Diceros bicornis minor: one gene and its partners. The protein of the gene in region 2 interacts with the protein of the main gene of each other region in a pairwise test. Links are inferred from orthologs where the notes say so. Each region holds a gene or a part of one and is shown on either strand. Other genes may lie near its edges.

What was found.
Region 1: the proteins of keratin, type I cuticular Ha1 (region 2) and TMEM106C interact in binary tests that used the Homo sapiens proteins (3 or more experiments, as listed by UniProt). The two-hybrid records come from large-scale screens. The link is inferred for Diceros bicornis minor from reciprocal best matches to the Homo sapiens genes KRT31 and TMEM106C.
Region 3: the proteins of keratin, type I cuticular Ha1 (region 2) and P2RX7 interact in binary tests that used the Homo sapiens proteins (3 or more experiments, as listed by UniProt). The two-hybrid records come from large-scale screens. The link is inferred for Diceros bicornis minor from reciprocal best matches to the Homo sapiens genes KRT31 and P2RX7.
Region 4: the proteins of keratin, type I cuticular Ha1 (region 2) and FKBP1B interact in binary tests that used the Homo sapiens proteins (3 or more experiments, as listed by UniProt). The two-hybrid records come from large-scale screens. The link is inferred for Diceros bicornis minor from reciprocal best matches to the Homo sapiens genes KRT31 and FKBP1B.

Annotation. Positions count from the first base shown.
Region 1 is NC_080756.1:21,948,935-21,955,886, forward strand, and holds the start of TMEM106C (transmembrane protein 106C), read right to left. Parts: upstream 3,005-6,952; 5' UTR 2,987-3,004; exon of another isoform or gene 2,868-2,986; intron 2,449-2,867; 5' UTR 2,421-2,448; coding exon 2,237-2,420; intron 1,026-2,236; coding exon 962-1,025; intron 463-961; coding exon 303-462; intron 212-302; coding exon 71-211; intron 1-70.
Region 2 is NC_080757.1:40,761,973-40,769,549, forward strand, and holds the start of keratin, type I cuticular Ha1, read right to left. Parts: upstream 3,009-7,577; 5' UTR 3,003-3,008; coding exon 2,655-3,002; intron 2,451-2,654; coding exon 2,368-2,450; intron 2,033-2,367; coding exon 1,876-2,032; intron 1,082-1,875; coding exon 920-1,081; intron 826-919; coding exon 700-825; intron 531-699; coding exon 310-530; intron 1-309.
Region 3 is NC_080774.1:8,684,827-8,692,249, reverse strand, and holds the start of P2RX7 (P2X purinoceptor 7), read left to right. Parts: upstream 1-4,410; 5' UTR 4,411-4,478; coding exon 4,479-4,603; intron 4,604-7,423. UniProt on the Homo sapiens protein: ATP-gated nonselective transmembrane cation channel that requires high millimolar concentrations of ATP for activation. Upon ATP binding, it rapidly opens to allow the influx of small cations Na(+) and Ca(2+), and the K(+) efflux.
Region 4 is NC_080751.1:58,294,920-58,302,889, forward strand, and holds the start of FKBP1B (peptidyl-prolyl cis-trans isomerase FKBP1B), read right to left. Parts: upstream 3,002-7,970; 5' UTR 2,887-3,001; coding exon 2,850-2,886; intron 1-2,849. UniProt on the Homo sapiens protein: Has the potential to contribute to the immunosuppressive and toxic effects of FK506 and rapamycin. PPIases accelerate the folding of proteins. It catalyzes the cis-trans isomerization of proline imidic peptide bonds in oligopeptides.

The DNA of each region.
Region 1 (6,952 bases), on a different chromosome or scaffold from region 2:
CAAGGCTACGGCATCCCCACACTCCCTTCTCTGAGGGCTGTGGGGCAAGGATCCTAAAGGAACAGCATACCAGGTGCTCGCTCCGCGGTGGAATGAGGGAGACGTTTGTCGTCACGTATGACCCGACCACTGTGTTCATGTACTGAACCTGGCTGGCCAGGCTGGTCACCGCCACGGAGTAGAAGTTGGAGTTCCTGATTTTCAGGGTGGCCTGGATCAGGGCAAGTGCAGAAACAAGCGTAAGTGTCCTGGGTCCGAGACTTGCAGCTGCACAGCCCGGGAAGGGCGGCCAGAAGTCTTACCGTGATGGAGAGGACTACCAGTGAGTCCTGTTTATTGAACGTGACTTTCACCACTTTGATGCCGTCATCATCCACAAGGACCGAATGCGGAAATAGGAAGAAAACCACCAAACCAGATGCCAGGAGACACAGCAAGACAGACAGGAGGACATACTGCTTACTGCAAATGACACAGCATATAACTGACTCAGGTAGTTGGACATCAAGGTCCAATCAGTCAAGATTAAGTGCAAAACCAGGAAGGAGGGGGGAGGGACAGGAAAGTAAAAAGAGCCAGGAACCACAAACCAGGCAGAGTGAGTTGAGTGGGGGAAGCCTTTTGAACCCATTTGAACACTTTTTGCGATCTGGCAAGAGAAGCTGAAGAGAGGAGCTGTGTGGACAGAAACATCTCTTCACCTCCCAGGACACCCCTCTTCTCCAATTCCTTCCAATTCAATTCCCTCACTTGGCCTCCACCTCAGAATGCTTCTAGCTTCAAGTTTCCTTCCCCAGATTGTGATGAGGGCAGAGCTATCTTGCTTGAGCAAACAGTATTAAAGGAAATGGGGGATTTACAAGAATAGATAAAGTTTTCACAAGGTTAACGGACATTTGTACGTATAAAAAGAGACTAGGGACAGAAGTAGGTATTAACAGGAGAGAGGCAGGCAACTCACGTTCTCCGAGGGCGCAATCTCTGATCACTGTGTGGGATCAAAGCCACTAACTCATTTACTTGCTCTAGAAAAGAACCAAACAATTATTTTGGTAAAATAAATCCCATGTGTTGGCAGTACTTCCCTTCAGATGGCACATCAGCATTCCACAACATACATGTGTCTGGAATTAGCCATTTCTTTTTTTTTTTTTTTTTTTTTTTATGATGAAGGTCAGCCCTGAGCTAACATCCATGCTAATCCTCCTCTTTTTGCTGAGGAAGACCGGCTCTGAGCTAACATCTATTGCCAATCATCATCCTTTTTTTTCCCCAAAGCCCCAGTAGATAGTTGTATGTCATAGTTGCACATCATTCTAGTTGCTGTATGTGGGACGCGGCCTCAGCATGGCCAGAGAAGCAGTGCATCAGTGCGCGCCTGGGATCCGAACCCGGGCCGCCAGTAGCGGAGCGCGCGCACTTAACCATTAAGCCACGGGGCCGGCCCTGGAATTAGGCATTTCTAAGATACTAGTTTCATATTTTGGGTCTAATGAACAAGGAACAAGTAAATCTATAGAGAGTGCCACAAATCACCTGCCAGAGCAGTGACAAGGAAGTTGAGAAATCTAGGATCTTGTTCTGGCGTTACTGCATGGCCTCGGGCAAGTCATTACCTCTCTAGGGCACTATCTCCTCATCTGTAATATGAAGGCTTCAGAGCAGATGGTTTCTAAGGTGCTTACCAGCGATAAACCTCTGTGACTCTCCATCTAAACTGTTAAGACTTTCCGAGGGCCAACTTAGTGACAGATGATCCTGCACCTAATCCAGGCTCCACTCCTGAGCAGTTGTTTTTCTCTTCCCACTTGATATATTTTTCAGACCTTAGGTTGTTAAAGATTCACTATCCGTTTCCTTGAAAAGACGCTTCCAAGATGGTCCCCAACCCCACAAAGCTGTGCCAGGCCTTATGAGTGAGAACAATGAACAAATGCGCCTGTCAACAAATCCCACAACATAGAGCAAACCAAATGTCCCAAGCCAAGGCAACAAAGAACAAAAGAGCAGAAGTGAAGAAAAGAAAGGCTTTCAAATATAAGGAAACCAAGAGAAGTTGTGGAACCTGCCCAAGTTTACCAAGTCAGCTGAGCCCGCTCCTGTTCAGGGCATGGTCTGTGACTATGGTATTACTGCCTAGGAGAAAAGCTCTGTCTAGAAGACAGGAGAAGCCCTGTGGGTACCCTGAGATTCTCACTGGGGAATCGTCCTTCCCACGATCGCCAGAGACTCTCACCTGTTGGAATGTAGCCTGTCCCCTGGCATGTGAGACAGGTGATGCTGTCTCGACCGGTGAACTCCACATATGGGAACTGAGCGATGGCTTCTTCCTGCTCCCGTTCAGCCAGCAAATCCTCCCTGTCATCTTTCTTTCGCCTGCAGGAAGAGGGGTGAGCAAAGGCGGAATGCTGGGACCCCATGTCCGGTATGTGCCACTTGTGTCATGTCCTAGGATGCAAAGAGGCAAGCCAGGGCGTTAGTGGCCACACTGCGCCAAGAGAAGAAACTGCATCTTCCTATGAGAAAACTGAAAACACAATAATGACCAAATTGCCGTCCTGCGTGTGATCCCAAACACCTGCACAATTTCTACCAGGGCCCTCGTTTTGTAGCAGTGCTCCCCACCCCCTCCTACCCCCTATACAGAGCGGGAAGAACCGGGCCCGCTTTCGCCAACCTGCCCAGCCTCGCCCCTTCCTGTCAACTATTTGCAAACTCTGTGCTCTCCTCAAGAGAACCGTCCTGAACAAAGAATATGCACCAAACTGTTAACAGGCCTTAGGGAGAGCCCCATCCCCCTCCACTCCCAGCCCCGGGAGGCGGACTCAGGTCACGCCCCCCGGCAAAAAGCGACGCTCGGAGCCCACCAGAGTCGCCCAAGCGGAAGCGAACGCCGCACTCCCCGGACCTGCAGGGCGCGAACTCCCGGCAGCTCCTCTCCGGGCCGCGACCCCCACCACCTGTCCGCTTCGGCGGGTTTACCTGCCTCTTCAGTCCTCGGAGCTGCACGCACTCCATGCGCACGCGCCGAATGGCAGACTGGCCGGGGGTGGGGTGGGGGGTGGGGAGGGGGTGGGGGGTGGGGAGGGGGTGGGGGCAGGACACGCCGGCGTGCGCTGGCGCCTGCGCTCTTCGCGGCCCGGCTGTCTGCGCAGGTAGAGGGCGGCAGAGAGCAGAGGAGGACGGGGGCCCGCGCTGCTTGTGGGAGGAGGACTTGGGAGAGAGGGTGGTACTTCGCGCTGCCCCGAAAACGCTGGGAAAGGCTCCAGTCAAGTTTCCGAAGTAGAATGTCTCTCTGCCGAAGTGGGGGTGGAGGGGGGCGGGGTGGGAAGATGCTGCCGGCGGCCGAAGCCGTTCTCAACTATTATTTGAGCCCAGGGGGTGTGTAGACGCTGATACAAAGATGGTGAAGACAGAACCTGCCCTCATCCTGCTTTAAGGCCTCCCCCTCCCCAGCCCTCCACACACACACACACACACACACACACACACACACACACACACACACACAAAAGGCATGCACGTAAGGGATTAGAGAACACTTTTAAAAGGGTGGGTTTCTTCGATGCTGCCGGGTTGAGCTTCGCCTGCAGCAGAAGGAAGTGCGGCAGACTAAGCAGGTGAAGTTACTAAAGACGATGCTGGGGGAGAGGAGAGATTCTTAACTGGGTGAGTGAGGGGCCTGCCTGGCAGAGCAGAGTGAGGCTGGCGACCTCCGAGGTCCCTGCCACCTCCATATCTCTCTCCTCATTCTGTGGGGAAGGCTGGTGCCCCAGCAGCTGTCTAGCCATCTGCCCCACTGCTGGTCGCAATCAGCCCTCGGAGCCTTTAGAGTAAGAAGGGTTGAACAAAAAAATATTGAATGACACTTGTTGAAGACAGTAAGGCAGACTTTGTTCAAGAGGGGCCATGTTGATAGTTGTAGGGACCACAGCAATGGGATCTTGCAGTGGGAGAGAGAGATTGGGCTCAACTCTAAATACAGCATGAGCAAGTGGGAATTTATAGCCCAGGAGCAGGGTGAGGGTCAGTGGATGGAAAATTACTAAGAGGGAACTTCACGGGTGAGGGGAATTCTGGCTAAACCGACCTAACAGGATTCTTGTTGAAGACAGGCCAGGGTGATCAGATGTCACCTGGGGGATGGTGGTGGATGAGGAACCCAATCAGATATGGAGGGTGATGATCAGATATCGAGAGTTGGGAGTTCTTGCTAAAACTGGATTTTACAAGGAAGTGCACAGATGGGCCTCGGAGAAGGTTCAGCAGCCTGACTAAAGTTTGGTCAAGCAAAGAATCTTTATCAGAAGCAACAGGGAGCCATTGCTCCTCTTTTACCATCTCCAGCCCACACCTTCTCCTTCCTGAAATCTGGTCTTCACCTCTCTCCTTACAAGTTCTGTACCGGTTTATATTCCTTAGTTATACAAATCTGATTTCGTTGGGGGCAGCAATATGCTCAATTAAAAATACACTTCCCAGCCTTTCTTGCCATGGAAGACAGTTCGAGCCAATGAGATGTAAGCAGAGGTTGTATGGGACTTCCAGGAAAGCTCCTTAAAAGGGATAGAGACTTGGTGCTTTGACCTTCCTCTTCTTGTTTGGAATTTAGACTTGTTGTTGGAGATGGGGCAGCCATCTTGTGCCCATGAGGCAAGAAGTCTATGCTAAGGAAGGCTGGGTAGAAGGAAAAAGGGAGCCTGGGTCTCTGATGGCATTTGGAGCCACATTCAAGCCCTAGCCTCTGACTTCTCATTACCTGAGAAAAATAACCACCCCCCCAAAAATGTGGGTTTTTTTGAGTGTCTCTTTCTCACAGTGGGGTGCAATCCTAAAAGATATAGACAGAGCTAGCTAAGGAGAAAGCCTGGATTTTCACACAACCAGTCTGACTGCTTTAACCCACACTGTGTAGGCCACACTTAGGTTTCTACCCTCTTCTAACGTCTGCCCTTAGGGCACGTGCCCTTAGAGAGGGGGAGGCCTCTTGCCTGTCTGAGGCCTGACTTCCAAGTTCAGCTGTCTTGTCTGAGGACCCACTTCTGACAGGGAAGTCACCTGGGGAATCTGGGGAATGAGCCCATCCTTTAGTCACAGGGGTGTCACCTCACTTTGTGGCCCCTACTGGAACCCTGCCAAGGACAAAGTGCTTTAAGCTAATGTCTACACTACAGATGGACAGGACAGAGGGTTGTCCAGGCTGTCCCAGAAGCAGAGAAGGTGAGGAGGTGGCAGCCTGATTCGCTCCAGCTTAACAGGACGAGGAGGCCAGAGGCAGGCTGAGGGCTGTGGGTGCTTTGAAAAGGAAGGGAAAGGGGCTAAGGGCTAAGGGCTGTGGTGAGGAGAAGGCAGGGCTTCAACTGCTGGGGACTGTAAAGGGGCCTGGGGGCTTACCCAGCAGAACCCTTGAGGCTTTCTGACAGTCTGCTTCCCAAGCTGTGTCTGGGACAGTAGACTGCACTCTCCAGTGTGGCTCTTATTCCTCCTCGTCTCCCCACACCCAGCTCCAGGCCTGGTGCATAGTAGACCCTCAATAAATGCCTGTGGAACAACTCAGCCTGGAGGCCAGCCAGCGCTGTGTGGGGAACTCGTCCCAGCATCCGCCCGAGCCCTCCATCCCTCCATCCGGAAGGCAGTTTTAATTGGGCAGCACATTCCTAAGGAGACACGCATCGCTCCTCACCTGGGCCTGGCTTCCAGGTTTGTCTCAGCATCCTGGTTATGAGTGTGGGGTTACTGCAGACGTGAGCTCACTGGGGCTCTCCGGGTGGGCCGGGACAGGGTGGGGCCGACTGGGGACCCCTGCACTCTCAGCCTCCCATTCTCCACATGCATTATGTACCCCTGGACCCTCAGGCCGAGGGGAGCAGAGGCTGCGAAGGCCTACCATCCTGAAAGACTCCGAGGGGCTGGGGGAGGCCAGGGACAAGCTCTGCTCTGCCCACACCCCCTCCTGCCCAGGATAGGACTGCGGCAACCTCCCTCTGCACTGACAGGAGGACTGAGGGCTTAGATTGGAAGTGCTCTTCATTCTGCCCCTTTCTTGGTTCCACAGTTGGGAAAACCTGCTCGAGGTTAAATGACACCCAGGAAGTGGAAGAATCGGAACGGGAACCAGACCTGCCGGTTCCTAGTTCGGTATACTTTCCAAAGAAATGCGGGGACTTGCGAGAGCTTGGAGAGTCAGAGGCCGAGCCGGGACTCACCCCATCGCTGCGGCCGCTGTGGCACACAGGGCGATTTAAGGGGCACACGACCCTCTTTATTTAATCGATTCTGTGTTTATTCTAATGTGAATCAGGGATCTCAGTGTGCAAAGCTCTGGCCCATGTGTGGGCCAGAGATAAAGAGAGGAAACGGTCCCACCCTCTGAAGTTCCAGGGCCAGTTCTCTAAAGGGGGAGGGGGAAGTCAGCCCCTTGCATGAGGATCGTCTTACAGCAGCAGAGGGATCGCCTCTCCCCCGGTGCTTTTTTTGATGGGAAGCAGCTGTTATTTCCATTTCGCACTGAGACCCCAGGAATCTGATGGCCGGGCTCTAGCATCAGGTCAGAACCAGATCGTGGGTTTTCTGCTCCCAAGTCCTGTCTCTGTACTTTTCTGTGCTGTGAAGAGTGGTCACAGGAGGACGTTTACAGACCTGCTCTAGGAAGAGGAGAGGCACAGCGGGTGCGTATATACAAAAGGGGTCTAGGCGGGGGCTACACCTGTGTGCTGCGCCATGGCATTGGAGGCAGAGAACTCTGCTCAGAGAGTCACCTGTGATGGGGAGACGCGGTGGGGGTGCAGGGGCTTGTGTGTCCAAGGAACTGATAGTCCACCACAACCTGGTGAAGGGGACCCCTGAAGCTACAGTCAACCAAGGGGGTCCACGAGGCCAGGGTCTCCTCAGCTCCTTCCCTGAGTGGCGTAGAGGAGGCTGATGGTGGGGCTTACGTTCACCTGGCTCAGGG
Region 2 (7,577 bases):
AGTAGATGGAAACGTACCCTCTACACAATACAGTATTATAAAATGCAAGAAATATCATTGATCTCATACCAATATTATCATGGTAGAATGCAAAGAATTGGCTGTACAATTTCAGTTTGGACATCAAACAATTCTTGCCAATTTATGTTTTTAATGACAGCTGTGTTGTGTTTTCTGAGTCCTGTTTGAGCATGTCTGGTGTAAAGGTATAATTTCCTTTCCAAGGTATGCGATCTTTGGCTGGAGTCCAACTGAGAAGTAGTGCGACGTGTGTTGGGCTTCATTAGCTACCTCCAGCTGGGTACTCACTTGCAGTCCTCACTCTCCAGCAGGCCCCGGTACGTGTTGATCTCACTCTCCAGCCGGGCCCGGACGTCCAGCAGCACCTGGTACTCCTGGTTCTGACGCTCAAGGTCACTCCTGATCTCCGCCAGCTGGGACTCCACGCTGGTGATCAGGCCCTGCACCTGGGACAGCTGGGCGCTGTAGCGGGCCTCCGTCTCCGTCAGCGTGTTCTCCAGAGAGTCTCTCTGTGGGGGGATAAAGAACGTCACAGAGCTGCTCCTTCAGTGGGCTTCTCCATGGGGCTCCCAAGAAGTCACAGCTTCAAGATTTAGGAGAATGTGGCCCAGAGGGCATCCCAGTGACTCCGATTCCTCGACTTCACATTTCTCAGCAGGACGGCTGAACAGTACCCACCAGGTTGTGCTGGGCCTGCAGCTCCACCTCCAGGGCGTTGACCGTGCGTCTCAGCTCGACGATCTCCACCTGGTAGGACTGCAGCTGCTCCGAGCTGGACACCACCTGCCTGTTCAGCTCCTCGGTCTGAAACACCACAGGGGAGAAGACAGGATCAGACCCTGCCTAAAGGGCCCCACGGGGCCTCGGGTCCTGAGCAACCACGTGCTGAGATGCCCACCTGGGTGGTGAACCATTCCTCCACGTCCCTGCGGTTGGTCTCCACCAGGGCCTCATACTGACTCCTGGTCTCGTTGAGCACACGGTTCAGGTCCACGGTGGGGGCCGCGTCCACCTCGATGTTGAGGCGGTCTCCAAGCTGGCTACGCAGGGTGTTGACTTCCTGTGGATGCAGAAAGTGCAAGAGTGACTATCCTTAATGAAGAGTGGACTCTAAGAAATGGCATTGCTTGTTGAAGCCCTGTTAGTCTATTTTCTCAGAAAAGAAACTTGTAGTGCAGCAATCTGTGACAACTCAAGGCAAAGTGGTCTGCGTTCCATGTGACCCAGCTCCCTCCACACCATGACTGTGCCATGACACTTGACTTCAGAACAAAATTCCCAAGGATTTGCATGGATGCCACTGAAGGACGGACTAATACTCAACTTTCCTAATTTGCAGACTGGCTGCAGATAACCTCATAATACAATGAATTGGCTGTACAATTTCATATTGTATATCAAACAATTCTTGCCATCAAGTAAGAAGATCGTGTCAGGGCCCCACCCAGGTGAGAGAAGAAGCCTCAGATCACTCTTCACCAAGACTTTGAAAGAGACTCAGATTTACCAGACTTGATTTTTTTGGTCTTTGGGGGAGAGAAATTACTTTGCACAGCCTGATTAGATTGATGCTGAGACTCAGTCTACAACTCAGTAACCAATCACAAGCCGATGGAGGTCCCCTGGGAAACTCAAATGATACACCAGTTTTGAATGAAAGATATATCTTATCTGGGAACAAGGATAGGTTTCATCTCTCAATATTTTTCTTTCATCATGAAGTTTTGGTGTTTTTCAAGGAAATTTATAAAGTCACCTTCAGCCTGGTACTCCTGATTCTGCCACTCCAAAGACTAAAGCCACCCTCAGCCTGACACTGAATCGGGTTTCTTCATTTCTCATTTCTGGTCTCACCTCCTCATGGTTCCTCTTGAGGCAGAGCAGCTCCTCCTTCAGGGACTCTACCTGGGCCTCCAGGTCAGCCTTGCACAGGGTCAGCTCGTCCAGGATCCTGCGCAGGCCGTTGATGTCTGACTCCACCAGCTGCCGCAAGCCCAGCTCCGTCTCATACCTGCACAAGGATAGGGTCAGAGCAGTAATGGCAGACCTTCGAGACTCACAGGAATGACCTTTTCTAACCCCATTCACCTTGTCTTCCCACTTTCTGCAATGAATAGACAGAGCATTCTGGAGAGTCAATCAAGACAAAATGTTGATCCAAAAATACAGATTGATTTGAGTCCTCATCTATTTTTTATTCCTTTTCTTGGTTCCTCTCCATCTCTGCAGGATCCTTCACAACCAACAGATTGAAGTGTTGTTCAGTAAAACTATGGAAATCCCTTTTCTTTAACTAGAGATTTAAAAAAAAAGAGTGGACACCAGTGTGAATTCTGAACAACTCACTTGGTTCTGAAGTCATCCGCGGCCAGCTTGGCGTTATCAATCTGCACCACCAGCCTTGCGTTCTCAGACTTGGTGCACAGGATCTGGGGAATGAGGTGTTGCTTAGCGAGGATTGAAAATAAGTATGAAACCATCAACTTCTTTTAAAAGGCTTTAAAAGCTATTTTGAAGGTAAAAAGGAGAAGCAAGAATCATGATGGCATAGAAGCAAGAAACACGGTTCTCTATCACAGATTGAGAGTCATAGCAAACTTCCCTTGCTTACAGATGACAGCAAGGCCCCTCACCTTCTGCTGGAGCTCCTCGATGGTGCGGAAGTAGGACTGGTAGTTGGGGCACACTTCCGGCTCCTGCTGCTGGCTCCGCTCCCGGATGCGGCTCTCCAGCTCCGCGTTGTCCCGCTCCAGCTGGCGCACCTTCTCCAGGTAGCTGGCCAGGCGGTCGTTCAGGAACTGCATGGTCTCCTTCTCACTGCCATTGAAGGAGCCCTCGCAGAACCAGCTGCAGCTGCCCATGTTGGCGGGGATGTTGCAGGCCCCGGGCAGGGTGCAGCTGCGACAGCTGGGGGGAACGCAGGGCCGGGCAGAGAAGCTGGAGCGGCAGCTCAGGTTGGGCAGGATGCAGTTGTAAGGCATGGTGCTGGAGGGAGCAAGGGTCTCAGCTGAAGACAGAGTCCAAGTTGTCCCAGGAGCTTGTGGGCCTCCTGCCTCTGGGGAGCATTTATACCCCCTCCACAGAGGGTGTGGACGTGGTATTTAATGTCTTTTTTCTTTTTACTTCTTCACTGGCTTTCAAACGCCCTTCCCTTAAGTCTGTTATATGCCTTCCTCAGAAGAGTCCCCTGTCCCATAAAATTCTTTACTTGGGCTTCTTGCTAAGTCAGGACTCCTCTTGAGGCTGTACACCCATGAAATCAGAGTTTCGTGGTAGACCTTCAAAGAGCCCACACAGTCTAGCCCAAGGATCTGCCCTTGTTAATTGGGAGTTCGTCCATCCAATGACATTGCTTTGTGCCACCTGATCCTGTAAACCCACGATCAAACTCATCTCCTGGCCCCCTGGCATTTCTAGGGAGGGACTGGGACTGAGTCAAGGAAGAAGTTGCATTAAGTGGGCAGCAGTGGACTCTCTTCCCATCTGCTTTGAGAGAAGGATCCTTCAATGATGTAGCGTCCCAAGCCTTGGAAGCCTTGAGGTGGATAAGGATTGACTTGGGCCGTGGCTGAGAAGGATGGACAGTTGTTTGTGTAATGCCTCCTGTATATCACTTAAAAAGATTTTAGAGAAATTTTAAAGGTAGGGGTTTTGATAAATAGTTTGAGAACAGGGAAAGTTCTGGAGGAAGAGATCATTTCAAAAGAGAGCTGAAAAAATGCAAGCTGAGAGATCTATATAAATGCATTGAAACTACCTAGGAAAAGGATCTGGAGGCAGGTCTGAGGGAAAGGAATAAGGAAGTGCTTGTCAAAATTTTTCACCTAAGTGTCCATAGCATTAGAACAGAGTGCGCGGGTAATCGGGAGAGTCAGGAGATAGCCCCAAGGGGCCTCCTCAAGCATGAAAACTTTGAAGCTGATCTTAAAACTTCACGTGAATTGACCTTATATTCCATAATATACTCATGTTGGCTTTAAAATGAAAAATCACGTTAAGGTTTCCAGTTAAACTTTCTAACGTTTTGCCCAATTCTCAAGGTGAAATTGACACACCAAGAAGATGCACCATATCCTGTCCTGCGCTTCCCATTCTCAGCCTTGCTGGGTTATGTGCAAGCTGGTTTGAGAACCAAAGGTGAAAACGTACCAAGGAGGTCTCTGTGGTCATGTAATTGAATCCAAGGACCTGGGCACCAGGACAGAAAATGCTGAGACACAGAGTAAACAGGGGATTTTGCAAGGCAAGCTTAGCGTCATTTGGGATTGATTTGGGGGATGAAGGAAGGCACGAGAAGGTCTGAGGAAGGGGTGGCCAAAGTTCTGCATATATAAAAGTTGCATAATTATAGGCACCACCGGGTCCCACCTGCGTCTCAGGTATCAGCGCCCCAACCTCACTGTGGCTTTGGCCACCAGCCATAGCAGTAGTTTTATTGACATCTTATTGGAGTCCTTCTCCCCATCGAGCTTTCATGATAGTATTCATGCAACGCTCTGCTTGAGTCTCAGTACGCTCTTCATCTACCCTCTCCAAGGCCATTATCACCACTTATTATAATGCCATCCAGATGAAAAGCCACACTGTGCTACAAAGAAGCCCCAGACATATAATAAAATCAAAATTTCTTTGTTTGCCTCCACGGCAATTAAAGGGGGAGAAATGGGTGGGTCCTCTGGCAGGCATCACCGAGACTCTCCGGAGGAAGGGCACAAGGCTAGGTGGCGGCAGTCAGTAGGCAGCTCCAGTCTCGCTTCGTCCAGGCTGGGGACATGTGGAAAGGCCTGTGAGTCTGACTGAGGAGCATTCACTGGTAGGGAACAGCACAGGACTCCTGCCCCCAACTCTTATCAGCCTGCTCTAAAGCACTGGCTTTCCAGCAAGGAGCTGTTTCCTCAGTCCTGGCTTCCTCCCCACCCAGGAAGGAGCAGGAGCTAAATGCCAGTGGCACTCTCCAAGCTCTTTGGTCTCATCTACTGACTGGCCAGCGTAGCCTTGTGGAGGCTTTAGTCAAAGCAGAATGTTTAGATTCTAAATAAGAGAAGATTCAAAGATGGGTCAACGAGAGAGAGAGAGAGAGAGAGAGAGAGAGAGAGAGAGAGAGACAGCAAAAGTAGAATTTGCATACAATGCAGAGAGATCAGAGAAATGGGGAGAGACGGAAACAGGAAGAGGTGTGTTTCATAAAAGAGATAAGAACATCAAGAAGAGGCAAGGAGGGAACCTGGGGGGAATCGTCAGAATCACTTGGGGCCAAGCTGATCAGACAAAGCTAGTATGTCTTCAAATGAGTGAACCTGGAGAACGCAAAGCAGCCAAGGCAACCTGAATTGATGGACAGAAGAGTGGGCCGCCCTGCTGAGTGTCCTGCGAGGTATAAATGGAGGTGACTCGGAAAAGATCTACAGACACAATACCACACCTTCTGAGGCCTCCGAAAGCAGTGACGTTGTTCCAGGGTGTCCAGACCAGAGCATCGCCTCCACGATCCACTCTGGGATTTGTTCGTGCCTGAGAAATGCACTGTGGTCTACACCCCAGCAGTGTAAAGTCAAAGGCGCAAGGCTACCTGTTTCTGAAGGAATAAGGAGTGTGGAGAGGGGAAGGAAGAAAGGAGCAGACGGAATTAAACCTGCACTGGCTTCAGGTCACGGCCAACCAGCAGCCACAGAGAAGATGCGGGAAAGAACGGGTTACCCCTGTTACCTGCCTATTTCTCCTGGAGATACCTCTTTTCCCTGCAGATGGTGAAATGGCACAAGAATTCAGGATGGAGAGAGCAGACAGACTGGCTGGTGAGTAAACATAATGCCGCCACACCATTTAGCCTCTTTCTTGCAGTGTTTTCAAAATATCAATAGGCTTGAGAGAATTTGCTTCTTGAATTAATGGGGAGAATGGGACTCTGGCGTTGTGAGGTCTCCATGACCTCACACAGGTTAGGGGTAGACTTCATGTAGTCTTTTGATCTCCTAATTGAAGTATCTGCAAACTTTATTCATTCGGAGAGAAACTGAGCAGTCAAGGAACTATCAAACCCACTTTCTTTATTTAGCTCAATTTTATTCAAAACATATTTATTGAGCAGCTTCTCCACGCTGGGAACGGGACTAAATTGAAAAGAAGAATCATAGTTCAGGCAGTGGAGTGTCTTTTTATGAGTAATTCATATATGGGTCCCCCAAATATATGAGAAATAACAAGAAGGTAAGGAGGTGAGATATTTGAAAGGTGTGAGGAGGACGTTTGGAAATATGTTTGTGTTTAATGTAATTAGAAGATTGCATACATGATACTACGGGCAGCAGTCATTGGTTGAACATCTTTCAAGCACCTGACATAGTCCCAGGGCTGGGGACAGGGGGTCGGTGGGGAGTGGGATGGTGGGGAGATGACATGCCCCTGCCCTCTGCCAGCTCTCAGTCCTGCTGAGCAGACAGGTCCACAACTGACTCTGACATAAGGTAATACAGTTGGGCCCTTTACCCCTTAAAAATTTCTTCCTTTCCCCCTCCCACTTCTTCCCACGGCTATTCCTGCCCCTAACTCCAGTCAGGCTATTTCAGCTCAATTCTTGATTCTCAGCCAGGAGATGAGGGGTGAGGCCATTTCAGATTATTTATCTTCATCCCAAAGGAGATTTATTCGTGACTCCACTCTCTAGGTGACTCAGAGGTAGGATTCAAACAACTGATCTCATTAGAATCCTAATCCCTTTAAGAATCTTTTCTTCAACAGCCCTGGTAACTGGTTATTTTGGTATTTGGTTCTCATTGCTTTGGAGACCACAGGTGGTGACTGCCCATGGCTTCAGCCCTGCAGCGTCCCCATAGGACCGGTGGGCATACAAGTTTCAAAGCAGGTGAAAGAGGCTTCCAGGGATGTGGTATGGGGCAGAAGAAAGAAAGGAGGCAGTACTAAATCAAGCAAGTAAAAGAGGAGATAAAAATAGAAATAGAGACTAGTGGAGAGAAATGGAGGTGACGCGTGAAACTGCTGGTGAGCAGACACAGTTCTGCTTCGGGGTGAGAGAGATCTACTGCCGGGTGGAGCATTTGGTTGGAGAGCCTTGGAGGCCAATGTGAATGAGGGAAGCACACATTTAGGATGTCTGAGAACCAGGGAGAAGGAACGGGGAAGGGAGGCAAGGGAGATTTGGGTACACAAACCAGCAGAAAGGGGGAGCCTCAGTTGAAGGAGGCCAGGAGACAACCAAAGGCCAGAAGCTGAGTCCACAATGTGGTTAGGAAGGAGAGGACACTGCAGGGTGGGAGAAAGCACCAGGAAGCTTATCCTTGGGGAGATTCCCAGGCCCTGGAAGACTTTGCCCTGCAAAACCCACCTCAGCTACCTCGCCCCAGCATTTGAGAGTGGGTCTGAATGTGAACTTTTATCCAGATGTACCTCCAGCAAAGCCCTTAGTGGCTCGGTGCAGGGTAAGGACAATGGATCAGGAATGAGAAGACTTGGGTGTGAGTGAGACCAGCTTTGAGACCTTGGGGTGGGGAGGTCACTCACCTCCCTAACCCTGAACCTCTCCCCTGCGAAATGGGCAT
Region 3 (7,423 bases), on a different chromosome or scaffold from region 2:
GAACAGGATTTAGTGCTTCTTCAGCTGCTGTGGACACAATCAAATAATTTTTCTTCTTGGAGCTGTTAGTTAGTTGAATTATTTCAGTATATCCCTAAACACTGAACTATTCTTGCATCCGTTAAAAAGCCAACTTGGTCAAAATAAAAGAAAGTCACTAATTTTCTGACCTGTAACCAGAAACACACACACACACATACCCTTGTGTACGAGAAACTCACCCAAGCCCCCTAGTCCTCCTCCATCATGACCTGGCTTCCTACTTCACAAACAGAGAGCACCAAACTTGACGTTTCACTTTGAACATCTTTGAATGGCTCAAATGTTTCCATCCTAACTACCCCTCCTATCTTCCCTTGACGCTGTCTCCCATTAAAAACCACTCTTACCTCTCGCGCCTCATAGCCAAGCTTGCAGGAAAAGTAGTCCATATCTGCTGTCTCCACTCTCCCCCTCTCATTAGTTGCTCCTGACTCACACTATTATTTTGTGGGAAGGTGTTTCATTTTGAAGATGTGATTTGAAGTGTCTGTGGGATATTTAAATCTGGAGGTTCATAGACTGTACAGGTGTGGAGATCTGAAGGCAGGTTTGGTCTGGAGATATAGATTTTTTAAATCTATCAGTGATTTAAAAAAATAATCATGCATACGGAAGAGAAAACTTCATAGAAAGGTGATAAGTTTCTTGAAAAACATTTACTGTTTCCCCAGTTCCTGCCCCAGAGACCATCTTGTATATCTTTCCAGACACAGCCAGCTTCATGGACATGGGACCTGTGCAGTCACATAGGGACCCGAGCTTAGAAGGAAACTGAGCTTGGTTAAATGCTCTGCTGTCACCATGTTGAAATTCTTCATTTTTGAATAAGGGACCCCACATTTTCTTTTTTTTCTTTTTGGTGAGGAAGATTGTCCCTGAGCTAACATCTATGCCAATTTTCCTGTATTTTATATGTGGGACACCACCACAGCATGGCTTGAGGAGTGGTGTGTAGGTCTACACCTGGGATCTGAACCTGCAAACCCTGGGCCACTGAACCAGAGTGTGCAAACTTAACCACTATGTCACCAGGCCGGCCCCACCTCACATTTTCATTTTGCACTGGGCCCCACAAATTATGTAGTAGGTCCTGTTTCCAGCTATATTCCATGCAGAGTTAAACACATAATACACATAAACACGTGCCCCTCCTCCCACCCCCTTTTCTTTCAGCATTTGGTAATTCTTAAAACAATGTATGTAGATGAAATTTCCCAGGGAGAAGACGCAAAAGTCGTAAGTGTTGTTCACCAAATATTTCTGCTGCTTCTGTTTCTGAGGACATGGGGGATACATGGTGGGATTGCATTTCATGGTTCCCTAGTGGTTGGATGGGGCCAAGTGACTAGTTTTGACCAATGAGTTAGGACCAATGAGTGCATCATTTCTAGGTCAGAGCACTTAGTCACTGCTGTGAGACCTTCCAGATTTCTCATTAAAGAGTTCAAGATAGTGGCTGTCCATTAGTCTTGGTCTCTGAATGACTACAATAAGCAGAGCCTTCTGAGTGTCTTATGATGGGCATTTAGTGTAGATGAGAAATAAATTGTCATTGTTTTAAGCCATATGATTTGGGGGTTATTTGTTATTGCAGCATAATCTGTCCTATCCTGACAGAAATACAAAAAATTCTGAGGCAGAATTCGCTGGGACTGACATTTAAGGGGAGAAGAGAGCCATAGAAAGAAAAGACAAAGATTCGTAGAGGTAAAAATGAGAAACCAGGAGAAGATGTGACCCACAGGAGTCATGGAAATCAAGGGAAGAAACTTCTCCAAGAAGTAGAGACTGGTCAATGGTGTTAAATGCGTCCAAGAGGTCAAGTAAAATAAGGAATAAAATATATCCACTAAATCCAGCAACTGAGAATTCATTGGTAAGCTTGTTGAGGACAGTATCCGTGGAGTGGTGGTAGTGGGGAAAGAGTGGACGGAGGGCTGAGGAGGTGGAGAGGGAAGAGCCTGAGGGATCAGTGTAAGAGTTTAGCACAAAGACTGGGAGGAAGTATATGTCTTTGAGTGGTGGCAAGGGGAATACTGAAGTGATCTGCCTATTCTGGACATTCCCTATAAATGGAATCATACAATGTGTGGCCTTTTGTGTCTGGCTTCTTTCACTTAGCATAATCTTTTCAAAGTTCATCTATGTTGTAGTAGGTATCAGTACTTCATTCCTTTTTATTGCTGAATAATATTCCAATGGATGGATATGCTACATTTTGTTTATCCATTCATCTGTTGATGGACATTTGGGTTGTCTGCCTGTTCACTTCTACATCCACTAGTGACTGGTGCTTTTGGGAATGAATAGCTGTCCAAGGTCACAGAGGTGGTAAGATGGGACATCAGAAACCAGGCAATTAGTCCCTCAGCACCGATGTTCTAACCATGAGGCTTTACTGCCCTGTAGATCTCTTCTTTGATCCACATGAAGATTACTATATCACTCAGAGTGCTGGTAGGAAAGCGATGGTGTACTCCAGTGGGGTAACTAACGAAGGAACCATTTACAAAGGTGCTGGCAGTGTTAAGAAAAAGTAATAAAAGTGGCCGGCCTGGTGGCGCAAGTGGTTAAGTGCGCACGCTCCGCTGCAGTGGCCCGGGGTTCGCCAGTTCGGATCCCAGGCGTGCACCGACGCACTGCTTGGCAAGCCATGCTCTGGCGGCATCCCATATAAGCAGTGCTTGGCAAGCCATGCTCTGGCGGCATCCCATATAAAGCGGAGGAAGATGGGCATGGATGTTAGCCCAGGGCCAGTCTTCCTCAGCAAAAAGAGGAGGATTGGCAGATTTTAGGTCAGGGCTGATCTTCCTCACAAAAAAAAAAAATAAAGAAAAAGAAAAAGTAATAAAGGATGATGAGCTGCCAGGACTGGCAACAGCAGGGAGCTCTTACTACCCCGAGGCCTGAAGGAGGGATTGGTGCTCAGAAGCCCTGCCATGTGCAGCTGGGAGGAGAGGAGCCAGGAATATTCACATCCAACCTCACTGTCTTCCTATTCTCCAGTCTCCTGAACTGGGAGCCAGAAGGTAAGGGAGCCCCTGACGCAGCTCACATGGGTGAGAAAGTCAAATTTAGCTTAAACTGGAAAAGTAAAAAATGGAAAAGTAAAGAAATGGATAAAGTCCACCACAAAGAGAACAGGAAAAAATATTGCTCTGTAGCTGTAAAATGATAATATCCCCCATTTTTTCTAAAATGATAATACCCCCCATCTTTTGAGTGAGAGACTGTTGCTTTCTTACTTACCGAGAAATGTTGTCCTCTAAAATCAAAGTCTATCAGAAACTTTGCTATTTGAAATTGCATCAGTAAGAATGAAATATTCCATTTTTGCCTGGAGGACCCAAGTCACCTTCACACAGAGAAGCAGCTTCGATCTGCACCTAAGGTGCAGAGCTTCAGATAAAGGGATTCTGGACGCAATATTCAACATCTATTATAGTTTTATTGCTTCCAAGGAAACAAGGCCCTGGATCCTCTTTGCTGTTCAGATCTGAAGCTGACTGTTTTATACAAACGTGCTTTGCTTTGAACCTATCAAAACTGGGTTTCATTTAAATTTAATCTAAACTCCACCATCCCCCAGAATCCTCTGATAACTCTGTCCCTTTGTTTGATGATGCCCCACAGCTCCTCTGGGCGCGTGCTCTCTCTCACTGAATGGGTCAATAAACCTAATCTTGTTGGACGGCAAGTTTGTTTCTGGCCGTCTTAGGCTGATTGGCCTAGGTCATGGGTGGTCCTCCTGAGACACAGAATAGGGCGGAGAGTGGACCTAGCAGGTCACGCAGGAAACATCCGGCATAGAAATAAAGTCCTCCTCTCCTCCCACCCCCCAGCAAATCTGATTCCCCCACCATCTCCAGACCTGGGTGTTGTGAGGAAGTCAGGGGAGGGAGGAGAGAAAGAAACCTTCATTCACTCAGTGTTCATATACAGCTGGGTCTGAATAAAGGGTTGTAGAAATGAATCAATCAATCTCTTGAGTGGGGCTTGAGGCAATGGAAAAATCTAGGCCCTTTACTAAGGCACGAGGGAAGCACTGGGTCTCCTGACATTTGAAGGGCTGCCCCTTTCCCCCAACTGAAATGAGTCCAAAAAAGTGAAAGGAAAAAGGGGATAGGCAGAATTCTAAAAATGCCCTTCCTTTGAACACCATCTTTGTGCAGGCATCCGGGGGAGGCCAGCTGGGGCGGGGTCATCTGCCAGGCAGGACTGTAAGACTTGGCTTTTCTTGTTTATCTCCAGCCACTTCTGGAGCGGTTGCCAGGGCCCGCCCCCACTCTGCTGTCATTGGAGGAGCTCAAACTTAAAAGGCTCCTGCTAAGAATCAAGTCGTTTCATTTCCTTCTTACTGGTGGTCCTGCTGTGGCCCTTGTGTGAGGGTTGAGCCCTGGTCCAGCCCCCAGTGAGCAGAGAGCGAGCATTTCACCATGGCAGCCTGCTGCAGCTGGAGTGATGTTTTCCAGTATGAAACAAACAAAGTCACCCGGATCCAGAGCATGAATTATGGCACCATTAAGTGGATCTGCCACCTGATCGTCTTTTCCTACGTTATGTAAGTGGGGTGTGGGGATGACCCCAAATCTCTGTAGTGGTTGACAGCACAGAAAATCCCAAGGTGCAGCTTCTGGTGCACATCTTGAATTTCCACGTGGTTTTAAAATCTGAGATGTGCATTTCACAGCAAGCTGGGGGTGAGCTGCGGGGGGAGGAAGCACTAGGCGGGAGGAAGCAGCGCCAGTCTGCTGCAGAGAGAAGTCACGGGAGGTGAGTGTGACACTTTGGGTTCTACTCCAGGCCTGCTGGGGCAAGCCAGGCAGGGCGTGTCTGGGGAAAGTGGGAAATGCAGGGCAACCCTGGATTCCCAGGAAGGAGGCGAGGATTCAGGGCACGCCCGGTGATAATGCTGGCATCTCTCTGAGTCATCACTGCTTAGGGGAAGGAATAGGACCAGGCTTGTAAATGTAACTTTAGGTCCTCTTCAACGGCAAGAAGGCTCCCCTTGCTCTTTTTTCCCCCCAACAGCTTATTAAGACATAATCCGCATACTATACCACTTACCCATTTAAACTGTACAATTTAGTGGTTTTTATTATATTCACAGAGTTGTGCAATCATCACCACAATTTTAGAACATTTTCATCACCTCAAAAAGAAACCCCACATCTCTTAGCCATCGCTCCCAATCCTCTTATTCCCCTGCAACTCCAGGTACCCACTGATCTCCTTTCTGTCTCTATGGATTTGCTTATTCTAGATATTTCATATAAATGGAGTCATGCAATATGTGGTCCTTTGTGACTGGCTCCTTCCACTTAGCATCATGTTTTCAAGGTTTATCCATGTTGGAACATGTATCTCTACTTAATTCCTTTTTATGGCTGAGTAATATTCCATTGCATGGATATAACACTTTTGGGTGGACATTTGAGTTGTTTCCAACTTTCTGCTATTATGAATAATTGTGCTATGAACATTCATGTACACATTTTTGCATGAACATGTTTTCAGCTGTCTTGGGTATGTACCTACGAGTGGAATTGGTGGATCATTTGGTAACTCTATTTTCAACCCTTTGAGGAACCATCCAACTGTTTCTCACAGCAGCTGCACCATTTCATACTCCCACCAGCAATGTATGTTCCAATTTCTCCACATGCTCACCAACACTTGTGATTGTCTGTCTTTTGGATTATAAGCATCCTGTGAGTTGTGAAGTGGTATCCCATTGTGGTTTTGGTTCACATTTCCCTAGTGGCTAATGCCCCCTTGCTCTTTGTGATGATGGTGATGATGATAACTTGCATCTATGTAGGAAGACAGCATAGTTTACTAGCTAAGGGTTAGAGCAACCTATTCTATCATCCTGGCTAAGCTTCCTTGGCCAAGTCACTTAACCTCTCTGAACCTCAGTTTCTGCATCTGTTCATAGAGTTGTTGTGTGATAATCAAACAAGAAAAGGCATGAAGAGCCCTTATCGATGCCTGGCATAGGGTAAGAGCTCCATAAATGGTAGCTATTTTTTAAAATAATCTTTTTTAATGTAATAGGTACTTTTGTATACATCCTCTCTTTTGACCATCAGAGTAACCACACCCAAGCTTGTGATTTGAGATCTGCAAACATGGATTCAAAAATTCTTTACCTCTTTGAGCCTTGGTTTCCTCATCTATAAAATGATAAATATTTTTCTTTCATATGGTGAAGTCTTATCTTATTTTACATGCGTTCAATGCCCTCAAATTCAGTTACACATGTTCCACGGGAGCATGGAGCGAAAACGCCATTTAAACAGTGCAATGATTCAGTGATTGGGCTCTGGAGTAAGTGTGAGATGGATGCTTTTGAGTTGGGATTCCCTCGGTCAGTCTCTGTTCTCACATGCTTCTCACCAAGTGAGCATCCTGCCGCCCTACCTGTGAATCTAGATACAGATTTTCCACCCAACATATCCCTTAAAATAAGCCAACTCCTTCACTTTCACCTGGAGCAAAACTGGAAAAACAGAAACTTGTTCCAGAGCTGGAGGAAAAATTGGGTCTGATGAAATCACTGAGAGGTGGAAGGTCTGTTTGCTATGCTTTGTGGAAAATTTAAGGGTTTACCAAAGGCAATTTTGACGAGGCACAATTTTTATCTTAAGTGCTGACTTTAGAAGATAACCCCCATGTAAAATGCTTCTTCATTGTTTATATCTTAAAATATAAAATTGAAGAAAAAATATTGCTAACTTTGCTTTTTTCTTCTGTGTTAATGGAAAATCTATTTACATCTCACTGAATGGAGTCCCATGGAACACAGCTTGGGAAGTGCTGCCTTAAGTTGTACTGTGAGGTCTCATGTTGATGTAAGCGCAACTTGGCCACCTGTGAAATGGGTAGACCCACAATTAGCATCAAATAGGACTGGTATGGACCATAGGTGGAAGTCTAGACTAAGATAATATTCAGGATATACGGCAGCAGGTGATGGGTCTGGCCATGGGGTTCTGGGTTCAGATTTGTCCATTCTAGGGCTGAAAAGGCAGAGATCCAGGATCATCAAGTGAGATAGGGCCTCAGTTATTGAAACTGGGGTACAAGACAGGGACTGGCAATAGAGGAAGTAAGACAAGAGGCTGATTGGCTTCTCATAGTCCCTCACAACCAAGTTCAGATCTGGAGCTAAAGGCAGGGGAGGCAGCTACAGGTGGGGTCAAGTGGCTCCAGCTTCCAGGGTGGCAGAAGTGTATGGACAGGATGCTGAATAGTCTGTGTTAGTCAGAATTGTTTGGATAGTAAGTGACAGAAACCTAACTCAAGTTAGCCACCAAACCACACAGGGAATTCATTGCCAAGTAACTGGGCAGTGGAAGAGATCAGACATGGATGGTTA
Region 4 (7,970 bases), on a different chromosome or scaffold from region 2:
TGAAGGATGAGCAAAATGCTAGGAAAAGCACTGCAGGAAGAGGGAGCAGCAAGTGCACAAACCTTGAGGCAGGAAAGGATCGGTGTATTTGCAGGTAACTGGAAAGAAGGGAGGGAGGAGGAGATGAGTGGGAAAGAGTCAGATCATGCAGGGCCTTGCAGAGCTGGATTTAATTCTAAGTGCAATAGGAAGCCACTGGAGGGTTTTAAGCAAGAGAATGACATAATCTGAATTAAGACGTTATAAGATCACTCTGGCTGCAGTGTGTAGGATGGACAGTTAGGCGCCAATTGCAATAATCCAGACAGGAAATCAATGATGGCTTGAATTAACGTGGTGGCAGCAGAGAAGAGAGCAAAACAGATTGGAGATATATTTTGGAAGCGGAGCTGACAGGGTATGCTAATTGAGTGGAGATGGGGTGCAGGATGAGGGAGAAGGAGAAATCAAGCACAATGGTTGGGTTTTCAGTTTGGGCAACTGGATGGATGATGGAGCTAATTCCTGAGATGGGGAAGAACAGATTTGTGCGGGTGGCAATCTTGAGATGCATATTAGGCATCTGAGTTTATATTGCAAGTAGGCAGATGGAGAGTCTGCAATGGAGGTATAAATTTGGGTGGAATTTAAAGCCATGGGGCTGGATAACCAAGCCTTAGGAGGACTAACAACCGAGCCAACGTTTAGAGGACTCTATGGGAGCCTGGAGCAGAGAGCAACTGACTGACTGTGGATATCAGGGAAAGCATCAGAGAGGAGATAATGGTTAAACTGGGTCTTAAAAGATGAGTAGTTTGTCGGAGGAAGTAAAGGGAGATAATCTGGGAAGAGTGAACAACATGTTCAAAGGCCTAGAGTCAAGCAATAGAGGAAGCCCAGTCCGGTTCACTGCTGTAACCCTAGGGCCTCGCACACAGTACATGTCCAATAAATATTTGCTGAATGACTAGTGTGTTTAACAACTTGCAGGCAGCTTGCTAAAATGCTGGAGAAAAAGTTGGTAGTGGGGGTAGGAACTGGTAGTGAGAGATGAGGCTCTAGTATAGAGGGTAAGAATAGGCTATATCACCATCTGCCTGGAGAAGGAGATGGAAGATTAATTGAAACATTTTATAGTAGTGGTGGGGAACATGGTCAAATATGCATTTTAAAGAATCCTCAGGCTGTGGTGTAGGAAATATGTGGCGAGGTAGGGAGGCCACACTGAAGGCAAGGAGGTGAGACTGGAGGTGGGGAGACCAGTTTAGAGGCTGTGCAGAAATCCAAGTGAGAGGTGATGATGGCCTGAACTAGGGCAGGGGCTGAGGGATGGAGCCCAGAGATGTTAAGCAGGAGGACTTGACAGGACTTGGTGTGGGGCCCAACCAAGATGGACATCCCCAGCATGGCAGTGGTCACTTGTATATCCCCCTCCTGGGTAACAGGAGGTAGCCCGGTCCTTTTGTGCTTCCTTGACTCAAAGGTTTAGACTGGGCTAAAAGCAGAAGGCCAAAGCTCCTTCAGGCTTTCCCTAGAAATCGAATCCCTCTCAAGGGAAAATGCCCCTTGTCCCTGGCCAGGGAGGGAGGATAACAGGAAAAAACTCTAAAGGCTTCTTTGAGCCAGGGAAGGGAGAAGAGGCCTCAGCCCCCTGGCAGAACTCTATGGCCATGCCCTGGGGGCTGACAAGGCCTCAGAGAGATGCTTACTGGGACCCAGCACCACGTGGTTCCCAGTGTGGATAAAGAAGCCTGTACCTCACAGGTAATCTGGGTAGGGGCTGGGATGTCAAGGGACCACTGCCATTCAACAAGGAGGGTGGCCTGGAACCAAGAGGCCCTCCAATTTTCTGGGGAGGGTAGGAGTAGTCAATACTGTCTGACATGAAGTTTGCCTGTCAAATCCTGCAGAAATGGGGGCTCCAGCCTGAATTAGGTTTTATTTAAGAAATAAAGAAATGGTTATTCCTTGGACACCCAGACCCAATTATACAAGGGATTTCTGGCTTGGGAAAGGGAGCAGCGCCAGTCCTAGAGGCAGGGAACAGGGAACAGGGAACACAGAGGAGCACTCCAGAGTGGGGAAGATGAGGAACATGAGTTCTGTTTTGGACTTGCTGACTTGGAGGTATCCGTGGGACATCCAGGTAGAGGTCAAGCAGCAGCTGGATAAATGCACCACCATGAACTCAGGTCAGAGGTTTGGGCTGGAGGCTTAAGTTTGGAGGCCATTGGTTTGCAGAGGATAATGAAAGCCATGGGAGCGTACAGGATGGCCGGAGAGACAGAGTCGGGCAGGGAAGATAAAGCAAGATGCAGAGCCGGTGGAGGGAGCGCTTCTCCCTTCCCAGACTCCCTCCCAGACTCCCTTCCCAGACTCCCTTCCCAGTAGGCTCGGTCCCTACACCGTCTCATCGCCCAGCCCACAGGGGGCCGCCCGACCAGAGAGGTTTAGAAGGGTTGCCCCGAGCAGCCGAGACCCCAAAGCATGACCTTTCCCCTGTTTCCAGAGCTCACCCAGCAGGGCAGGGAAAGCGGAGCTAAAACCCAGCCCGGGGAAATCAGCAGTAGCGGATAACCGAGCGGTTCCAGCCGCGGCAGCGGCGACGCAAGGGCCCCGGGAAGGTGGCGGGCCGCAGACCCCCGCCTCCTGGCCGCCGCCTTCGTTGCCCTGGGTGAGCGGGAGCGGAAAGGGATGGCGGAGGATCGTCGGCTAGACCCTCAACAATTCCGTCTGGGGTCTCCTCCTGCCGCCCCCATCCTATGCGCCCCCCCATTCGGCACCCCCCCGCGCCACCTCAGGATGAGACCCCCGCCCGCCCGGCTCCGCCCCGGGACCCTTCCTCCTCCCCCGGCTCTACCGCCCGGTACCGTCTCCCGGGGAGATGGTCTCGATCTCCACGCCCATCGCAGTCCCACTGGCCCCGCCTCCGAGGGTCCCCGCTGCTGCCCCGACCCCGGCTCGGCTCCGGCCCTGGCCCCGCTGGCGCTCCGGCTCGCCTCTCCGCCGCCACTGCAGAGCCGGAGGAGGTGCGGCTGGAGTCGGGACCTGCGCGGGGAGGGGCGACGGGGAAGGGGGCGGCGGGGCGGAGCGGCGCGGAAAGGTGGGGTCGGCCGGGGCGGGGCCCCGGGGAAGGGACCCTGACGCGGCTGCTCCCGAGCTTCGCCAGGCTGTCACGATATTAACCCACTGAGTGGGGAGGATGGTGAGCGAAGCATGAAGAAAGTCGCGCATCCGCCCACCCATCTATCCATTCATCCATCTAGCCATCCATTCATCTATCCATCCGTTCAAAACATATTTATCTAGCACCTACTCTTTGCTAAGCTCTGGGGAGTCAACCCAGTCCCACAGACTAGGAAAAGGCCGGCAACTAAACCAACACTTTAATTAGATGCGCTCACTACCATGGAGTTCAGAACGTTATGGAAGCACCAGAGAGGCACCTACCCCAGCCAGGCTGCCCGGGTCTGTAGGAGCAAGATGGGGGTAGCGGTGGGGTGGGGTGGAGAGATGGAAGGGAGGAAACTAGTCTTTGCTTACCCTCCCTCAGCCACCCTAAACCCCTATTCACTATCTTGCGTAGTTCCGCCCCACGCACAGGTGAGTTTTCGAGGCAAAGAACTGCGCCCTGGGGATACCAATTGAATTAAGACAGAATCGCCGTCCTCAAAGAACTAAATCTGTGACGGATGGGGACACAGCAGTTACAGCGTGGAGTGATTCGTGCTGTGGGATGAATGAATGAGTTCTATCTTGAGTTCCTCCTCCAAGCCAGACCCATTACCTCCGCCCAAGAGATCCAGGAATCTGGAAAGTTATCTTTGAAGGAGGTAACATTTGCTTGAAGAATGAATGGGACTTTAAAATTATTCTTTTTTTTTCTTCTCATTCTTCCCTGCATTGTTCCGAAAATTGATGTGAAGATATGATCCTGACAAATGGCCCTGGAAGATAGGCACGGGGAGAAAAGCCTGGGCAAAGGCGTCCAGACTGGGCCCTAGAGGAGTTCTTCCTCCATTTCTCCACTCGTCCAGGTGGTTAGGTGAGAGTTCCGGTTATCAGCATCGCTGAAGGAGGACTGGCTGTTATTCAAGAAAGATGGTGGTCAACTGTACGAAGAGGGTCAGGATCTGAAATTCCCCATAGGTTGCTGCACGGAATGGCCCAGAGACTCCCAGGAGTGTAGCTGGTCTAAAGCCTACTGACGCACTAGCTCCTTGGACTATGGCCATAGGCAGGCACTTTTGGGGTAAGTGTAGAACAGGGGTTTGTAACTGGGACAGGTCCATGGAGCAGCTCCAGTTGAATGCACAATATCTTGTGTATGGATAAGAACATTTTTCTGGGGGGATTTTATCATATTTTAAAGAGGTCCTCAACTCCTTCGATTACCCTGCCCTCTCTCCCCCATCCCCCCCGCCCCAAAAAAGGTTAAGAAACCGTGTTGACGCTAGGGCTCCTGGACTCCTTCTTAGACTAAGAAAACTGGTGAGAAGTGGGGGAAGGCGATGAATCTCCTAAGAGAGGGAGAACTTGTAGCTGGTTTACAGTCGCGCCGGGGAGGCGGGGGTGGGGGGGGGGATGTTCAGGGAGACTACAACTCCCAGAGATCCGTGCGGCAAAGCCCGAGCTTATTGGCCAGTAGGAAGGACCATCTCCTAACGTGACACAAGCAAAAGCCAATAGACAGGGGGCATTGCCGAGCTTGCCCGGCCACAGGTCACCTATCAGAGGCCTGGGAGCGAATGCTTCCGATACTCTCTCAGGGCTTTGGGTCCGCGGTTGTTGATCCAGCTCGGCCCCTTGGAGGGTGATTTTCTGTGGGGCAGTGAGACCAAAGGTATTTTGTTTCCACTGCTGCCCGTCCTGGCGGGTGTGGGGAGGCTGTGGGTTGGCGGGGAGGGAGGTGGAGGGACCAGCACTTGGGGGCAGGGTGGAAGACACCCAGGTGTGAGGAGAAGGATGAGGGGCCCGCGTGCGAGGGCTGGCGGATGCCGACGAGCCAGGGGTGGGTTTAAACCAATAAATCTGTCCCTGTGACTCGTGAGTGGCGCTTCAGGGAACATATGCTAAGGAAGCCCTCCAAAATGAAGAAAATGCTTTCTACATAAAGACCTTTATCACAGCGTTATTTATAATAGGATAAAGTTGGCTACGACCAGGTGTATCAACAGTGAGGAAAAATTGTGCAGCTTCATTAAGTGAATATTAAGTGGCTTTCTAAAAATAATTTTTAAAATTTTTGAATAACATGGGAAGATGCTAATATATAACGTTAAGTGAAAAAATCGTGATACGAATTGTGCAGTTATGATTGAAAAAGTTTAAAACTGCGTAGAAAAAAGTGGAGAAATGTCATGATTTTGTTTGGATGAATTTTTTGTGTGTGAATTAACTTTTTACCTTTCTTGTGTGTTAATTTTTTTTTAAATAAGTGTAAAGAACTTGAAATTATTTTATAGTGGATACACAGTAAACTTAGAAAAACAAGTTGAGGGGTAGGTACTTCTGTTTCAACCTAGTGGAAGTGCTCCAGTTCCCCTAGTCCCCTCAATTCTCACCGAGTGTCTTTAAAGAAGATTAAAAACAGATAAATTAAATGGTCATAGACCGAGCTCCAGGTCCTGGTTCTGACCACCTCTCCCCTGAACTAATACAGTGGGCTTTTCTCCCCTTAAAACACCAAAGGCTCCTGATTTCAGAAGTCTTGTAGTCTGAGAGTTAAGAGACGAACAGGTATATAGTTAGCTTCAGGCAAAATTTAAATATTTTAAAAGATACAGAATAAGTGGGGAACTGTTGAAGGTCAGCCTTTGTCTGCTTGGCTCTCTGATCGATCACAGCAAGGCTGTCTACTGCTTCGGCTTTAACTACCAACTCTAGGACAGTGACTCCCAAATCCTTAACCTCTGACTGTCGAAGGTACATTGCTACCCTATAGACATCTTAAATGAAGCACATCTAATATTAAATTTATCACACGCTACATACCCTTCGTACTTTTGAAGCTTGTTCTGCCTTCTGTATCTCTGAATAATGGTTCAACAATTTCACAAGAAAAAATTTGCATGTTATCCTTAATTCTCCTTTCTTCCACACCACTCACATCCTACCTTATGTCATTATCTTTTCCATCTGCCTTAGAAATCTCTCTTGCATCTGACCCTTTTTCTCTACTAAGTAGCTACAAACTTGGCTCACTTTCTCATTGTGACATTCAAACTTTCATGGCCCCTTACTAAAGTTGTCAGCTTTCTTCTTTCTCGGATCCATCCTGCACGTTGTCATGTGAATGTGTGCTGGTTCTTTCAAGTTCCCCAGCAGGCCCTTTATGATTAAAGAGATAAGGTTGGAAAGGTATATCAATATCAGATAATATAAGGCTTTAAATGCCTTGCTAAGACATTTTGAAAGAATTTATTTTATTTATTTTATTTTTTTTTTTTTAAGATTTTATTTATTCATTTTTTCCCCCCAAAGCCCCAGTAGATAGTTGTATGTCATAGGTTCACATCCTTCTAGTTGCTGTACGTGGGATTCGGCCTCGGGTTAGACGGAGAAGTGGTGCCTTGGGGCGTGCCCGGGATCCGAACCCCGGGCCGCCAGCATCAGAGCACGCGCACTTAACCGCTAAGCCACGGAGCCGGCCCAAAGAATTTCTTTTAGATATGTAGACTGTGGAGACTCATTAAAAGGTAACTGAGCAGAAGAGCAAAATGACCAGAGCTGTGATTTTATTTAAAGATAATTCTGTAACCACACACAGCATCCGGGCTCTGTGAGAAAGAAGAGACTGGTATCAAGAGGCCCTCTCCTTGTCCTACCCTACTGAAAGGGAGAGGTGGTTAGGACCTGGACTAGCAATGGAGTAGAAAGGATTGGCACAGATTTTTGAAATATTGTTAGGTTTTTGAGAAAAATAGGCCAGATTTCTTCTTGTTACTAAAGATGAAAATATTGAAATTAATTCTTCTAAAAATCTCAGTAACCATATCATGTTTGTTTTTCCCTCATTCACAAATCCTTACCTTGTGTTACCCCTGGCCACACACACCCTCAATAACATTAGACTGACTTGGGTTGCCTAAAACATATCATATGAATTGGCTTTGATATAATTGGCCCATTAGGAATTTTCTTTGCCAGGAAAATGTATCATGCATTATTTATCAATAAAAGTCTTTTAAAAGTGCATAAGTAGATATTAGGGGAAAACATATTATCTTATGTAAGAGCAGTGGGTTAGAGATGGCAGTTTTCTTCATTACTAATGACAGGGGACTTATTTCTCCCTTTAGCAAGCCACTGCAGAACCACTTAATCTGACATCATGTGTAGAAGCATAACAGACCGTTCCTTCTTAGTAAAAGATTCTAAGAGCCAGGACAAAGCTAGCAAAGTAGGAGAAAAAAATTGCAGGTAAGTTAAAAGCAAATCACCAGGCAGTTTGGTAGAGAATACATTTCTTTGGATTTAGGATCTGAAGGTGACTTCTCAAGTCCTGTACTACTCAGTAAAACAGGATTGAAAAACGTCCATTGGATTCAGTGACATGGATGGCACTAGTGGCTTGGTGAGAGCTGTTTTAGAAAAGAGAGAGGAATGGAGTCAATTTGGAGTAGCTTAAGAACAGAGTGGTGAAGAAATGGACACTGCAAGTTTAGACAATTCTTTGATAGCTAATAAGATTAAATATCAATTTAAATATGTTTATTGATCATCGTATTATTTTGTAAATTGCCTGTTGATGTTCTTTGGCCATTTTTAAATTTAGGGTGTTTGTCTTTTTAACTGGTTTATAAGAGCTCTTTATAAAGTAAGTATTTTTTACATTTAAATCTCTGTTTTCTTGCAGTTAACAAAAGGACTTTTTGAATACATGCTTATAAAAACAATTTTTTCAAAAAATAAGTAAATAAGTAAAGAGGGTCCCACCTCATTTCAGTGTCCACCATGAACAATTTGGTGTGTATCATTCCTGATTTTTT